Anolis sagrei: one gene and its partner. The protein of the gene in region 1 interacts with the protein of each later gene in a pairwise test. Links are inferred from orthologs where the notes say so. Each region holds a gene or a part of one and is shown on either strand. Other genes may lie near its edges.

Region 1 (8,219 bases):
AAATCTAGAAATAGTTTTCTAAGATCTACAGAGACATTCGCTGGAACCCCTCAGCAAGCGAGAGTCCAAAAGTGGCAGGCTCAAACCCAGAACTTCAACCAATGGCTGATACCAAATGAGAGACTCCCCCCTGGGCACATGGAAGACTGGGCGACTTGGAGGGCGCTGAACAGACTGTGCTCTGGCACCACGAGATGCAGAGCCAACCTTCAGAAATGGGGCTACAAAGTGGAATCCTCGACATGCGAGTGCGGAGAAGAGCAAACCACTGACCCCCTGCCACATGCACCAGGGAGGATCTTCTTATAGTAACACCAGAGGCACTCCAAGTGGCCAGAGACTGCTCAAAGGACATTTAACCAACTACCAAACTCACAAATTCTGTGTTTTGTCTGTTTGTTTGCTTTGTTCTGTTAGAAATATAATATAATTGACTGCTTATTTATTTTATTTATTTATTTGCTTTATTTCTATACCGCATTTTTCAGCCCAAAAAGGCGACTCAATGCAGTTTGCTTGCCGTGAAACGACAAATAAATAGACACTTAGGAAAGGGATCGACTTATGATTTTGTGATATGAAACCTAGCACAGAGATCTTGTTTGCTGTGACATATTGTGGTTTTGTGTCAGTAAAATAATAATAATAATTATGGCTGTGGTTTGGCTGCATTTCCTCCTGACATTTCACCTGCTATTCGAGCACCACCACAACACCAATAATAATAATAATATTATTAAAAGTAATAAGGGTCCCTGCTTAACCCCTCCCCACCCCCACCCCCCACCCAATCTCCCCAGGTAAGCCCCTCCCTCCATTCACCTGCTCGAGGCCATTATCCTCTGAGTGGTAATAATAAGTGTCCAATAATAATAATAATAATAATAATAATAATAATAAGTGTCCATCGTGTGACCCAGTACAACAGCCAGCAGATTGTCTGCTGTAGTGTTATCCTGTTGTGTTTCTAATAATAATAATAATAATAATAATAATAATAATAATAATAATAAGTGTCCAATGTGTAATCCAATTCAACAGCCAGCAGAGTGTCTGCTGTGGACTCATCTTGTTATGTTTCTAATAATAATAATAATAATAATAATAATAATAATAATAATAGTCCTAGGCACTTGGGAAGTGTCTGACATGTGGACTCATCTTGTTGTGTTTCAAATAATAACAGTAATAATAATAATAATAATAATAATTCAACAGCCAGCAGAGTGTCTGCTGTGGACTCATCTTGTTGTGTTTCAAATAATAATAATAATAATAATAATAATAATAATAATAATGTGTCCGACATGGGATCCAATGCAACAGCCAGCAGAGTGTCTGCTGTGGACTCATCTTGTTATGTTTCTAATAATAATAATAATGATAATGATAATAATAATAATGTATTGTGGAAAGCTTTCACGGCTGGAATGACGGCTCTCTTGTGTGCTTATCCAGGTTGTAGGGCTGTGGTCTGGCACCATTTCCTCCTGACATTTCGCCTGCTATTCAAGCACCACCACAACACCAATAATAATATTATAATATTATAATATTACAATAATAATATTATGACTATGAGTAATAAGGGACCCTGCTTGACCCCTCCCCACCCCCAATCTCCCCAGGTAAGCCCCTCCCTCACTTGTGTGCTTATCCAGGTTGTAGGGCTGTGGTCTGGCAGCATTTCCTCCTGACATTTCACCTGCTGTTCGAGCACCACCACAACACCAATAATAATATCATTACTACGAGTCATACGGGTCCCTGCTTGACCCCTCCCCACCCCCCACCCACCCAACCTCCCCAGGTAAGCCCCTCCTTCAATTCACCTGCTCGAGGTCATCATCATCTGAGGGACCCCCACCACCCCCCACCCAATCTCCCCAGGTAAGCCCCTCCCTCAATTGTGTGCTTATCCAGGTTGTAGGGCTGTGGCCTGGCAGCATTTCCTCCTGACATTTCGCCTGTTATTTGAGCACCACCACAACACCAATAATAATAATACTATTAATGGTAATAAGGGACCCTGCTTGACCCCTCCCCACCCCCACCCCCACCCCCAGCCCCCATCCAATCTCCCCAGGTAAGGGCTGTGGTCTGGCAGCATTTCCTCCTGACATTTCACCTGCTATTCGAGCACCACCACAACACCAATAATAATACTATTACTGAGAGTAATACGGGTCCCTGCTTGACCCCTCCCCACCCCCCCCACACCCAACCTCCCAGGTAAGCCCCTCCCTCAGTTGTGTGCTTATCCAGGTTGTAGGGCTGTGGCCTGGCAGCATTTCTTCCTGACATTTTGCCTGCTACTCAAGCACCACCACAACACCAATAATAATATTATTACTACGAGTAATACGGGTCCCTGCTTGACCTCTCCCCATCCCACCCACCCAACCTCCCAGGTAAGCCCCTCCCTCAATTTACCTGCTCGACCGCCCCCCACCCCCCCACCCAATCTCCCCAGGTAAGTCCCCCCCTCAATTCACCTGCTACCCCACCCCCTACCAACCCAACCTCTCCAGGTGAGCCCCTCCCTCCATTCCCCTGCTACCCCACTCCCCACCCACCTAACCTCTCCAGGTGAGCCCCTCCCTCAATTCACCTGCTCGAGGCCATCATCTTCTGAGGGACCCTCACCCCACCTCACCCCTCACCCACCCAATCTCCCCAGGTGAGCCCCTGCCTCAATTCCCCTGCTACCCCACCCCACCCCCACCCACCCTCTCCAGGTGAGCCCCTCCCTCAATGCACCTGCTCGAGGCCATCATCCTCGGAGGTGGTGGAGGGTCCCATCCGCCGGGAGTCTCCGTTGCCGTGGATGGGGACCTCCATGGTGGCCGCCTTGCTCATCAGCCCCTCCGTCATCCTGGACGAGGAGCAGGAGGGGGACAGGTGAGCTTGTGTACCTGCCTCCCAGGTGCACAGGTGCGCTCTAGGCCCCTCCCTCTTCCTTCCCTCCCTCTCTCCCGGAACTGGGGCCACGTCGCCTTCCTCCTCCTCCTCCTCCGCCGCCTTGGGCCCCCGGGAGGACCGGAAGCGACGTCACGGCGGCCCCAGGGTCGGGGGGAGAGAGAGGAAGGAAGGAAGGAGTCAAGGGGGAAGCAAAGCGGAAGTGACGCAGGATGGCGGAGAGCGAGCAGCAGCAGCAACTGCGCAGCGTGAGTCTTCCCAAACAAGGGGGCGGGGCTTCCCATCCTTCCCTCCAGGCGCTTTGGACTACAACTCCCACAATTCCTAACAGCCGGGACGGCTGTTAGGAATTGTGGGAGTTGTAGTCCAAAGCGCCTGGAGGGCCCAAGCTAGGCCTTGCTTCCCTAACGCTTGGGCATTGTGGGAGTTGTAGTCCAAAGCGCCTGGAGGGCCCAAGCTAGGCTCTGAAGGAGATCTTTGCTTTCCTAACACTCTGGAATTGTGGGAGTTGTAGTCCAAAGCGCTTAGAGGGCCCAAGCTAGGCTCTGAGAGAGGGCTTGGCTTTCCTAACACTTGGGGATTGTGGGAGTTGTAGTCCAAAGCGCCTGGAGGGGCCAAGCTAGGCTCTGAAAGAGATCTTTGCTTTCCTAACGCTTAGGGATTGTGGGAGTTGTAGTCCAAAGCGCCTGGAGGGCCCAAGCTAGGCTCTGAAAGAGATCTTTGCTTTCCTAACGCTTGGGGATTGTGGGAGTTGTAGTCCAAAGCGCCTGGAGGGCCCAAGCTAGGCCTTGCTTCCCTAACGCTTGGGCATTGTGGGAGTTGTAGTCCAAAGCGCCTGGAGGGCCCTAGCTAGGCTTTGCTTCCCCAACACTTGGGCATTGTGGGAGTTGTAGTCCAAAGCGCCTGAAGGGCCCAAGCTAGGCTCTGAAAGAGATCTTTGCTTCCCTAACTCTTGGGGATTGTGGGAGTTGTAGTCCAAAGCGCCTGGAGGGCCCAAGCTAGGCTTTGCTTCCCTAACACTTGGGGATTGTGGGAGTTGTAGTCCAAAGCGCCTGAAGGGCCCAAGCTAGGCTCTGAAAGAGATCTTTGCTTCCCTAACTCTTGGGGATTGTGGGAGTTGTAGTCCAAAGCGCCTGGAGGGCCCAAGCTAGGCTTTGCTTCCCTAACACTTGGGGATTGTGGGAGTTGTAGTCCAAAGCGCCTGGAGGGCCCGAGCTAGGCTCTGAAAGAGATCTTTGCTTCCCTAACACTTGGGAATTGTGGGAGTTGTAGTCCAAAGCGCCTGGAGGGCCCAAGCTAGGCTCTGAAAAAGATCTTTGCTTCCCTAACTCTTGGGGATTGTGGGAGTTGTAGTCCAAAGCGCCTGGAGGGGCCAAGCTAGGCTTTGCTTCCCTAACACTTGGGGATTGTGGGAGTTGTAGTCCAAAGCGCCTGGAGGGCCCAAGCTAGGCTCTGAAAGAGATCTTTGCTTCCCTAACACTTGGGAATTGTGGGAGTTGTAGTCCAAAGCGCCTGGAGGGCCCAAGCTAGGCTTTGCTTCCCTAACACTTGGGGATTGTGGGAGTTGTAGTCCAAAGCGCCTGGAGGGCCCGAGCTAGGCTCTGAAAGAGATCTTTGCTTCCCTAACACTTGGGAATTGTGGGAGTTGTAGTCCAAAGCGCCTGGAGGGCCCAAGCCAGGCTCTGAAAGAGATCTTTGCTTTCCTAACACTTGGGGATTGTGGGAGTTGCAGTCCAAAGCGCCTGGAGGGCCCAAGCTAGGCTTTGCTTCCCTAACACTTGGGGATTGTGGGAGTTGTAGTCCAAAGCGCCTGGAGGGCCCAAGCCAGGCTCTGAAAGAGATCTTTGCTTTCCTAACACTTGGGGATTGTGGGAGTTGCAGTCCAAAGCGCCTGGAGGGCCCAAGCTAGGCTTTGCTTCCCTAACACTTGGGGATTGTGGGAGTTGTAGTCCAAAGCGCCTGGAGCGCCCAAGCTCGGCTCTGAAAGAGATCTTTGCTTCCCTAACACTTAGGAATTGTGGGAGTTGTAGTCCAAAGCACTTGGAGGGCCCTAGCTAGGCTCTGAGAGAGGAATTTGCTTTCCTAACAGTCGGGAATTGTGGGAGTTGTAGTCCAAAGCGCCTGGAGGGCCCAGCTGGGCTCTGAGAGAGGGATTAGCTTTCCCAAAACTGGGGGATTGTGGGAGTTGTAGTCCAAAGTGCCTGGAAGGCCTGAGCTAGGCCTTGCTTTCCTAACACTTGGGGATTGTGGGAGTTGTAGTCCAAACGTCTTATCTGTCTCCTTCCTGTTCCAGCTGCGGGACTTCCTGCTGGTCTACAACCGGATGACGGAGCTCTGCTTCCGGCGCTGCGTCCCGGGATTACTCCAGCGAGGCCTAGACGGGAGCGAGGTGAGGGCAAAAGGCGCCGGAAGTGCGGGGGAAAACCACTTCCTGTGGCTTCTTCCGCCATTCTGATCCCAGCGGTGCCTCTCTTTCCCTCTCTCTCTATGGCAGGAGGCGTGCCTGGAGGGCTGCGCGGGGAAGCTGGTCCGCTCCAATCAGCGCCTGATCTCGGCCTACGTGCGCCTCATGCCAGTCTTGGTCCAGCGCCGCCTGCAGGAGGGCGGGCCCGCCAAGCCGGAAGGGGAGGAGCCTCCCACGCCCGGAAGTGGGGACTGAAGCAATGCCCTTACTCAAATACAAACGCCTTTTCCTCCTCCAAGCCTCCTCATTGGTTGAGCTCACCCAAAGGGGAGGGACATCCTCTGCACGGCTAGAGCGGACTTCCGGAAGGGCGGGAGGGGGGACGTTAGGCTTCCTTAGCAACGCCCCTGGCAACGCTCACTCTCCTCCTCAGCAGCCATGGAGTCTCCCGCGCCAGAGAAGGGTAAAGCAAGGCCAGGGGGGCCCTGAGCATGTGCAGAGGGCATTGTGTACAGCAGTGGCTCGTTGTAGGCTTTCCTGGCTGTGTTCCAGAAGCACTCTCTCCTGACGTTTTGCCCACATGCACAGAGATAGTGAATTCAGCTTGATTAGCGTTTAATGGCCTTGCAACTTCAAGGTCTGGCTGCCTGCTGCCTGGGAGAAGATTTTCTTTTGCCCACATCTATGGCAGGCATCCTCAGAGGTTGTGAGGTCAGCTTGATTAGCGTTTAATGGCCTTGCAACTTCAAGATCTGGCTGCCTGCTGCCTGGGAGAAGATTTTCTTTCCACCATCCTGGACATCATTCCACCTCTGAGGATGCCTGACATACATGCATAGAATGCTCCTGGAACGTGGACACACAGCCCCGGAAAACTTATGGCAATCCACTGCAGAGAGTTCCACTGCTGAACGGTTCCGAGCCCCTATAAAAGAGAGGGCGGTCTAGGAACAATGTATTGTTATTATTATTGTGTTGTCAAAGGAAGGCTCTCACTGGGTTGCTGTGAGTCTTCCGTCTGGCCCTCTTCTGGAAGGAGACTCTAGTCCGCTCCACTGCAGAGAGTCCCACAGTTGAACAACTCTGAGTCCCCATGGGGAGAGACAGCGGTTTACAAATGAAGTATTATTATTATTATTGGGTTGTCGAAAGCTTTCATGACTGGAATCACTAGGTTGCTGTGAGTCTTCAGTCTGGTCCTCTTCCGGAAGGAGACTCCAGTACACTCCACTGCAGAGAGTTCCACAGTTGAACAGCTCTGAGCCCCTATAAAGAGGGCGGTCTAGAAACAAAGTATTATTATTATTGTGTTGTCAAAGGAAGGCTCTCACTGGGTTGCTATGAGTCTTCCGTCTGGTCCTCTTTCGGAAGGAGACTCCAGTCCACTCCACTGCATAGAGTTCCACAGTTGAACAGCTCTGAGTCCCTATAAAGAGAGAGAGCGGTCTAGAAATAAAGTATTTCATTATTATTGTGTTGTCAAAGGAAGGCTCTCATGGCCGGAATCACTGGGTTGCTGTGAGTCTTTCGTCTGGATCTCGTCCAGAAGGAGACTCCAATCCACTCCACTTCAGAGAGTTCCACAGTTGAACAGCTCTGAGTCCCTATAAAGAGAGAGGGTGGTCTAGAAACATTGTTATTATTATTGTGTTGTCAAAGGAAGGCTCTCATGGCCGGAATCACTGGGTTGCTATGAGTCTTCCGTCTGGACCTCTTCCGGAAGGAGACTCCAATCAACTCCACTGCAGAGAGTTCCACAGTTGAACAGCTCTTCAGTCCCTATGGGGAGAGAAGGCGGTCTACAAATGAAGGATTATTATTATTATTATTATTGGTTGTCGAAAGCTTTCATGAAACTTACGGCAATCCACTGCAGAGAGTTCCACTTCTGAACAGCTCTGAGTCCCTATAAAGAGAGAGGGCGGTCTAGAAACAAAGTATTGTTGTTATTATTATTGTGTTGTCAAAGGAAGGCTCTCATGACCGGAATCACTGGGTTGCTGTGAGTCTTCCGTCTGGACCTCTTCCAGAAGGAGACTCCAATTCACTCCACTGCAGAGAGTTCCACTGCTGAACAGCTCTGAGTTCCTATAAAGAGAGAGGGCGGTCTAGAAATATAGTATTGTTATTATTATTGTGTTGTCAAAGGAAGGCTCTCACTGGATTGCTGTCAGTCTTCCGTCTAGCCCTCTTCTGGAAGGAGACTCCACTCCACTGCAGAGAGTTCCACAGTTGAACAGATCTGAGTCCCCATGGGGAGAGACTGCGGTTTACAAATGAAGTATTATTATTATTAATGAGTTGTCGAAAGCTTTCATGACTGGAATCACTTCCAGGTGGAAGGCGGTCTCGGTCAGGGTGGGCTTGACGTGCCTTCCTCTTGGCACGTTTCTCTCTTTCGCCCTCCATTCGTGCCTCTTCAAATTCTACAACACTGCTGGTCACAGCTGACCTCCAACTGGAGCGCTCAAGGGCCAGGGCTTCCCAGTTCTCAGTGTCTATGCCAGAGACTTTAAGGTTGGCTTTGAGCCCGTATTTCAATCTCTTTTCCTGCCCATCAACATTCCGTTTTCCGTTCTTGAGTTCGGAGTAGAGCAACTGCTTTGGGAGACGGTGGTCGGGCATCCGGACAACGTGGCCGGCCCAGCGGAGTTGATGGCGGAGGACCATCGCTTCAATGCTGGTGTTCTTGGCTTCTTCCAGCACGCTGTTTCCCCGCCTGTCTTCCCAAGAGATTTGCAGGATTTTCCAGCGCTGATATACACACACAACACACACATACGCAGACTGGGTTACAGCAATACTTGGCAAGGGGGCGGCTAGTCAATCAATAAAAACATAACACAGACACAACAACAGCATCATAAAAACAACAACATGGCTGTAAACGGAGTCA
Region 2 (7,507 bases), on another chromosome or scaffold:
GCAAGTGTGAATGTTGCAAATGGTCACCTTGATTACAATTTAATGGTCTTGCAGCTTCAAAGCCTGGCTGATTGGTGTTCTGGGGGAATTCTTTGTTGGGAGATGTTAGCTAACCTTGATTGATTCTTCTCTGGAATTCCCGTTTTCTGTCCTGATTTTAGAGTTTTTAAATACTGGTAGCCAGATTTTGTTCATTTTTATGGTTTTGTCCACATGCTTGTGGATTTCAATGGCTTCTCTGCCTAGTCTGACATGGAAGTTGTTAAGAGTGTTCAAGCATTTCTGTGTTTTCAAATAATATGCTGTGCCCAGGTTGGTAAATAAAGGATGCTTGCCATAGATGTGGGTGAAATGTCAGGAGAGACTGTTTCTGGAACATGGCCATACAGCCCAGAAAATGCACAACTGAGTGATTCCAGCCATGAAAGCCTTCAACAACACATTTAGTACTTCCTTTAGTGTCCTATCTTTATGCTTCCCTGTGTAGTCTGACATGGTGATTGTTAAGAGTGCTCAAGCATTTCTGTGTTCTTAAATAATATGCTGTGTCCAGGTTGATTCATCATGTGCATGGCTGACTTCTCAGGTTGAATTAGTCTGCAGTGCCTTTCATGTTCCTTGATTCATGTTTGGGCAATTATGTGTTTGGTGGTCCCTATGTAGACTTGTCCACAGCTGCATGGTATACGGTAGACTCCTGCAGAGGTGAGAGGATTCCTCTTATCCTTTGCTGAACATAGCATTTGTTGGATTTTTCTTAGTGGGTCTGTAAATTGTTTGTACATTGTGTTTCTTCATCAGCTTCCCTATGCGGTCAGTGGTTTCTTTGATGTATAGTAAGAACACTTTTCCTATGTGTAGATTTTTGTCTTTACTCTCATCTTGGTCTTCTGGTGTCTGAGGTGGAGTATCCATTGGCCTGTAGAGCCCAGTTTAGGTGGTTCAGTTCACCTTGGAGGAGGTGGGGTTCGCAGGTTCTTTTTGCACGGCCTGCCAGGGCTTTAACTATGCTTCTTTTTTGACTTGGGTGATAGTTGGAGTTTTTATGTAGGTGTCTATCTGTGTGCGTAGGTTGTCTGTAAACTGTGTGGCCCAATTGTTGATAGGATTTGCAGACAACTAGGACATCTAGATATGGCAGTTTTCCTTCATTTTCTTTTTTTTCCATGGTGAATTGGATGTTTGTGTGGATGCTGTAGAGGTGGTCCAGGAACTTGATGAGTACTTTTCCTCCATGGCTCCAAGTGGTGAATGGTGAAGGTGTCAGCCAGGCTTTGAATCTGCAAGGCCATTCAATGCTAATCAAGGTGGCCAATGGCAACATTCACACTTGCCTCCAACAGACAAGAGTTCTTTCTCCCACCCTGGACATTATTCCAGAGATAAACCTCACTTTCCTAGTTTCCAACAGACCTCACAACCTCTAAGGATGCCTGCCATTGTAGTGAATACTTTTGGAACAAGGCCATACAGCCTGTAAAACTCACAGCAACCTATTATGATTTATTTATTTATTTACGTCATTTTATCCCACCCATTTCAGCCCGAAGGTGACTCAGGGCGGCGTACAAATCAACAACCAATTAGATGCCATATAAAAATACATACATTGGTTAAAAGCAAACAAAACAAAACAAAATCAAAAAACAAATCAAAAACTAAACCACATGAGAATACATTTAAAAACCATAAAAGCAATAAAAACAAAAATTATAAAACTTTGCCTTCCTGTTCAATTCCTCAACTGTTTCCATCGTCTTAGCTGTTCCTTGTTCGTATTCCAATTTGAGTCTGTCTGGTCATGCTGAAGTTCCAAATGTTGTGTATTTATATCCCACTGAAGGTAATTTTGTACAAAGTCAGAAAACAAAGGTGTCACAATTCCAGACACCCATGGGTTTCTGAGTTGCTGTGAGTTTTCGGGCAGTATGGCCATGTTCCTGAAGCATTCCCTCCTGATGTTTCACCCACATTTATGGCAGGCATCCACAGAGGTTGTCCTGTTTTAAGAGGTTTTTTTTTTAAAAAAATACTGGTAGCCTGATTTTGTTCATGTTCATCGTTTCCTCCTTTTTGTTGAAATTGTCCACATGCTTGTGGATTTCATTTTCTCTGTGTAGTCTGACATGGAAGTTGTTAGAGTGGTCCAGCATTTCTGTGTTCTCAAATAATATGCTGTGCCCAGGTTGGGAAATAAAGGATGCCTGCTATGGATGTGGGGGAAACGTCAGGAGAGAATGCTTCTGGAACATGGCCATACAGCCCAGAAAACTCCCCGCAACCCAGTGATTCTTGCCATGAAAGCCTTCGACAACACATCATCATTATCATCACCACCATAGAGAGGGGATGATAAGAGGGGACTGTTCAATGAGGAGGCAAAGAGCTGGTCCCGGCCCTTGTGCGTGGGACGCCCCTCTACCTCCAGGCCAGGCGCCCAAGGCCTGCTAGGCCTGGCTGCCTTCTTCCTCTCCGCCCTCCACACCTTGGCCAGGTACGGTGGCTCGGAGGGAGCTAGGACGGAGAGCTCCCTCGCCTCGCCTCCCCGCCCCCAGCTTTTTCTCTTCCTCCGCACAGAAGGATGACGAGGAGCAGAGCAGCCATGGCTCCCTGCCTGCCTCCTCCCTCACTCACTTGGTCACTGCACAAGCCGCACACAGCAGGTCCTCCCCGCCTCGCCTCCATCCCTGCCGCAACGCCCGCCCTTTGGCCCCCCGCTGGCCTCGGGACCGGCCTCCCCCTCCTCCTCCCTCACCCCTGCCCGCGCGCCCTTCAACCGCCATTTGCCTTTCCCCCCCTCTCTCCCTCTCCCTCACCCCCGCCATTCCCTCCCTCCCTCCCGCCGTGGAATCTACCTCCCTAACGGTTGGTTTCCTTGGTCACTGGCGGCAGCGGCGGCTGTTCCTCCTATTGCCGCCACCCCCGCAGGGCAAGCCGGGCCCGGGCAACCCACCTGCTTCCTGCGCGCGCGCTGCCTCCTCCTCCTCTTCCTCCTCCTCCTGCCGCCCAGCTGACTCTGCACTCTCCCAACAAGAGCAGCAGCAGCAGCAGCGAATCCCCCCTCCCTTTCTCTCTCTCTTGCGCGCGCGCGCTCTCTCTCTCTTTCACGCGCCGGCCCTCCTCCTCCTTCTCCCCGCACCCGGAAGCAAGGAACAGCAGCGGCATCCGTTCTCCAGGCCCGTGAACACGAGACGCTCTCGCGAGACCTCGCCGCCGCCCCCTCGCGAGATTTCCCCCCGGTGTCCTTCGTTTCCATGGTAGCGTCCGCAGCCACTGCTCCTGCTGCAAGGCGCGGGGGAGGAGGGCTTCCAGGGAGGGAGTCCTTGAAAGGCGCCCTGCTGTGGTGGTGGTGGTGGTGTTGTTGTGGGGGGGACGGTGTTCCTGAACAGGAGGGGACGAAGGGGAAGCCAAGCAGGGAGGGGGCCACGACGGCCAAAGAGCACCGAAGGCCAAACGCTCATGGCAATGTAGACGTGCGCGCGAGAGTGGCAACACCGAGGCCGCACTTCACAGAGAAAGCAGTAACCTTCACATTCACAACACGGAGCCCTGTCACGCTGCACTGTCAAATCGCGATGATTCCGCTTCAACGTGCTGTGGGTGTTGCCATGGCAATAGGAGTGCAATCATAGTGCTGTATCTCTCATAGAATCCTAGAGTTGGAAGAGACCTCATGGGCTATCCAGTCCAACCCCCTGCCAAGAAGCAGGAAAATCGCATTCAAAGCACCCCCGATAGATGGCCATCCAGCCTCTGTTTTAAAGCTTCCAAAGAAGGAGCCTCCACCACATTCTGATCAGCTCTCACAATCAGGAAGTTCTTCCTCATGTTCAAATGGAAACTCCTTTCTTGTAGTTTGAGCTCATGAGATTAGACCAGGCATGGGCAAACTTGGGCCCTCCAGCTGTTAGGAATTGTGGGAGTTGGAGTCCAAAACACCTGGAGGGCCCAAGTTTGCCCATGCCTGGATTAGACCCAAAGTCAGCAGAGTTTAACTTCTGGCCCTCCAGATGTTAAGGAATAGCACCCGAGAACAATGCCACAGTATCATAGCACTGTTATTCCACTTTAACTGCCATGGCAACATCTTGTGGAGTTTGTCTTTTAATGAGGACCAAGAGCTCTCTGGCGGAGGACTGTAAAGGGGCCTTTCAAGACAGCAAATCCCACTATCCCCTAGCACAGTGGTTCTCAACCTGCAGGTTCCCAGGTGTTTTGCCCTACAACTCCCAGAAATCCCACTACTTCACCACACTAGAGAATAAATCTGCCTAGTAGTTGCAGTGGAATTATAACATCTACATGCCTGTTTTATATAAAGTTTTTTATTTGCCATCTGTTAGCCTAACCTTATAGGAAAGATGTATATTTCTAAGGAGGAGAGGGGAGTCCCCTGATTCATGGTGCAGCCATTAGAGTCCTACAGAGTGCTTATTGCCTCCAAAGTCTCCTATGTTTTATAGCCTGGATAATCAGGGTGAGAGCCCCCCCCCCCCTCCCCAGGTTGAAAATGCTGCTGTTGAATGCCAGTAAATGGAAAACCAACTGTCACCCAGGACTTGATCCTGGATGAATATGCTGACCTGGTCTATATCACAGAGACCGGGCTGGATGAGACTGGGTTGGACAATTTCTCTCAGCTCTGCCCACCAGGATTCTCTGTGCAACAGCAGGCAAGGTCTGGGAGGTGGAGTTGCAGTGGTCTATTGTGATTCCATCCCCGTGACCAGGTTCTCCATCCCACAGTCACCAGGGTTCAAGTGTTTACCTAAAAGTGGGTAACTGGGACATAATAGGGATTCTCTTGGTGTACTGTGTGGAATAGAAGAATGGGATATTTAAAGACTGGTCTGTAACATTGTTTAGTGCTTAAAAATATTAATAGAAGATAAATGGTAAGACAGATGTTAGATAACAAAAATAATATTTGTGTCCCCCCCCCAATCTTTCTTATGATACATTGTTAGTTAAGAGTCTTGGTACTATAATGTGTGTGTGATATTATCTTGGGGTAGGGTTGAGAAGTTTCCTTCAAAATATGATGCACAGTTTATTATTATTAGAAAGTTTACATTCACCAATGTTAGAAAACTACATTATGTGTAGGGGGCAGTTCCTGAAGGTCTGAAGATCATTGTAATTTAGTGGTATTGGACATTATACAGATGCAAGTTTTGGTAGTTTTACATATCTTTGTGTGTTCTGTTTTGTCTTTTTCTTTACCCACCTTTCCACCAATTTACATTGCAACCAGTGCAATAGCTGATATAGTGGAAGCAACTAAGCTGGCCCACCCCCAACTGGCAGGCAAAGGCTAAGGCGAAGGGTGAATTTGAAGGCCTTCCTGAAGGAGGCCAGACTTGGTGGTGGTGGTGGTGGTGCAGGGGGGAGGTTGACAGGGGTGGAGCTGCAGACTATTTAGTTTATATTTAATATAAATAAAAACCACAAAAATAATATCTATTTTGCTCCTTAATTCAACCTTATGTTTTTGTCTACTATACAATGACCAATCATTTACAGATCTGCCTTGGTTCAGTGAAGTGACAGTCTAGTCTATCTGCCTCTTATTAAACTTGTGCTGTTTGAACTTCTCCACTCATTGACTTTCTTTCTGTGTTTGCAATAACCCCTAAATGCTTTCACAGCCTCTGCTAGCATTCTGCAAACCATACATTTCCACCCCAGTGTCCTATCTCAAATGGAAAATGTATCTGATTTCTCCATCTGCATGTTTTTTGCCCATCTGACATTGGGGCGGGGGAGGAGGAGAACAAAAGTTTAATATTGGAACCTTTAGTGGTAGCCTGACATAAAAGAAAGAGATGAAATAGATATGAAAATGAATTGATGGAGGAAAGGATCCAGCTGCAGGTCTACAATCAGTGTGATTCAGTATGGGGAAGCCTTATTTAATGGGAGGGATTGGGAGAATATAATAGATGTGACAGGAAAAAAAACCATAGACTTCAGATACTGTACAAGGCAAGTGGGCCACCAGATCATATTCTGCTTGCTTTAATATCAAAGCTAAGCTCTTTCCATGCATCCCTCTTACTTATGGAGTGGGCAAAGTAGTCTTTATCAGGAGTCATCCTATTGCAGATACATTTAACAGTGGAATTTGACAACCCAAAATATGTTGAATATTACCACCTACATCTCGCAAATTTTCTGATTGGTGCTGAACTGCCTCTGACTTTTTGATAAGGGCTGCAAAACTGTACCCACGCACCTGGAAATAGGTCCCACTGAATTCATTCGTTCACATTTATTCACAGACTTGGAGAGGATTATACTTTCAATGAAGTATGAGGGAGTAATGAAGGAAAGGAGCAAAGAGCGACATCTTCCTTCTGGTTTTGGCAAACAGATTCATTTGGCAGCACATTGAACAGGAAAGGCATGAAACAGACTGCTAAAGGAATCTCTCCCATTCATCTCATCATAGGATTTCCCAATGCTTTATGTTCTCATCTTAATCTAGACATACATGAGCAACAGAATCCACAAGTTTAGACCATGGTATTGGCCTAAAATGCAAACACTCAACAGCCATTTGCATTGCCTCCACTAGTCAGGCCGATAGTGGTTTGAATTAACCCTGATGGTGATATTCACAGTGGGAGAGTTAGATTCATTTCCTCCCACTCCTGAAGCCATAACTCCTGTTTGCTTCATCTAGAGCAGGGGTCCTCAAACTAAGCCCCGGGGACCAGATATGGCCCTCCAAGGTCATTTACCCAGCCCTTGCTCGGGGTCTACCTAAGTCTGAAATGACTTGAAAGCATATAACAACAACAACAATCCTATCTCATCAGCCAAAAGCAGGCCCACACTTCCCATTGAAATACTAATAAGTTTATATTTGTTTAAACTGTTCTTCATTTTAATTATTGTATTGTTTTAAAGTGTTTTTTTGCACTACAAATAAGATATGTTCAGTGTGCATAGGAATTAATTCATGCTTATTTCAAATTATAATCCGGCCCTCCAATAGTTTGAGGGACTGTGACCTGGCCCTCTGTTTAAAAAGTTTGAGGACCCCTGATCTAGAGAGACAATGGAATACAGAGATGGTTCAAAACAAATCTGTGCAGTGATGTGGAAGTAATTTACTGAAATGTGAATAAAACCTTTAATTTTTCATGTGGCGTTAGGTACAGTACTGCAAGTTTGCCAGTTGAAGAGGCACCTCTGCTTTGAAATACACCAGGCTGTGTTTACACCATGAGGAATATTTTTGTCCCTTTATATGGATTGGGTTTTTTTTACTATGCTTCCTTACAGCTTTCCCTCTTGGTGAACAATCTTCTAAATGAAAATATGTCAGCCAACCTTTTAATTATAAATGAACATACGATCAAAATACAAACAGTGGTCTGCAATCCAGATCTTGTGGCATGTACAGGTGACTTATGTACCAATGGATCTGTGGAAAGCATTGCTAAAAACACATTAGGGATATGCAGGAATAGCAAAGAGATTCAATAGGGCAAATCCTATT

What was found.
Region 2: the proteins of ARFIP2 (region 1) and ARF3 interact in a two-hybrid assay, tested with the Homo sapiens proteins (2 studies listed by BioGRID and IntAct). The link is inferred for Anolis sagrei from reciprocal best matches to the Homo sapiens genes ARFIP2 and ARF3.

The regions. Positions count from the first base shown.
Region 1 is NC_090023.1:1,133,407-1,141,625, reverse strand, and holds the start of ARFIP2 (arfaptin-2), read right to left. Parts: upstream 3,086-8,219; 5' UTR 2,875-3,085; coding exon 2,761-2,874; intron 2,624-2,760; exon of another isoform or gene 2,612-2,623; intron 842-2,611; exon of another isoform or gene 823-841; intron 1-822. Other genes in the region: TIMM10B (mitochondrial import inner membrane translocase subunit Tim10 B), read left to right, coding at 3,132-3,167, 5,213-5,308, 5,414-5,578; DNHD1 (dynein heavy chain domain-containing protein 1), read left to right, coding at 5,762-5,786. UniProt on the Homo sapiens protein: Plays a role in constitutive metalloproteinase (MMP) secretion from the trans Golgi network. May have important functions during vesicle biogenesis at certain cargo subdomains, which could be predominantly utilized by secreted MMPs, such as MMP7 and MMP2.
Region 2 is NC_090022.1:137,920,233-137,927,739, forward strand, and holds the start of ARF3 (ADP-ribosylation factor 3), read right to left. Parts: upstream 3,185-7,507; 5' UTR 2,954-3,184; intron 2,948-2,953; exon of another isoform or gene 2,856-2,947; intron 1-2,855.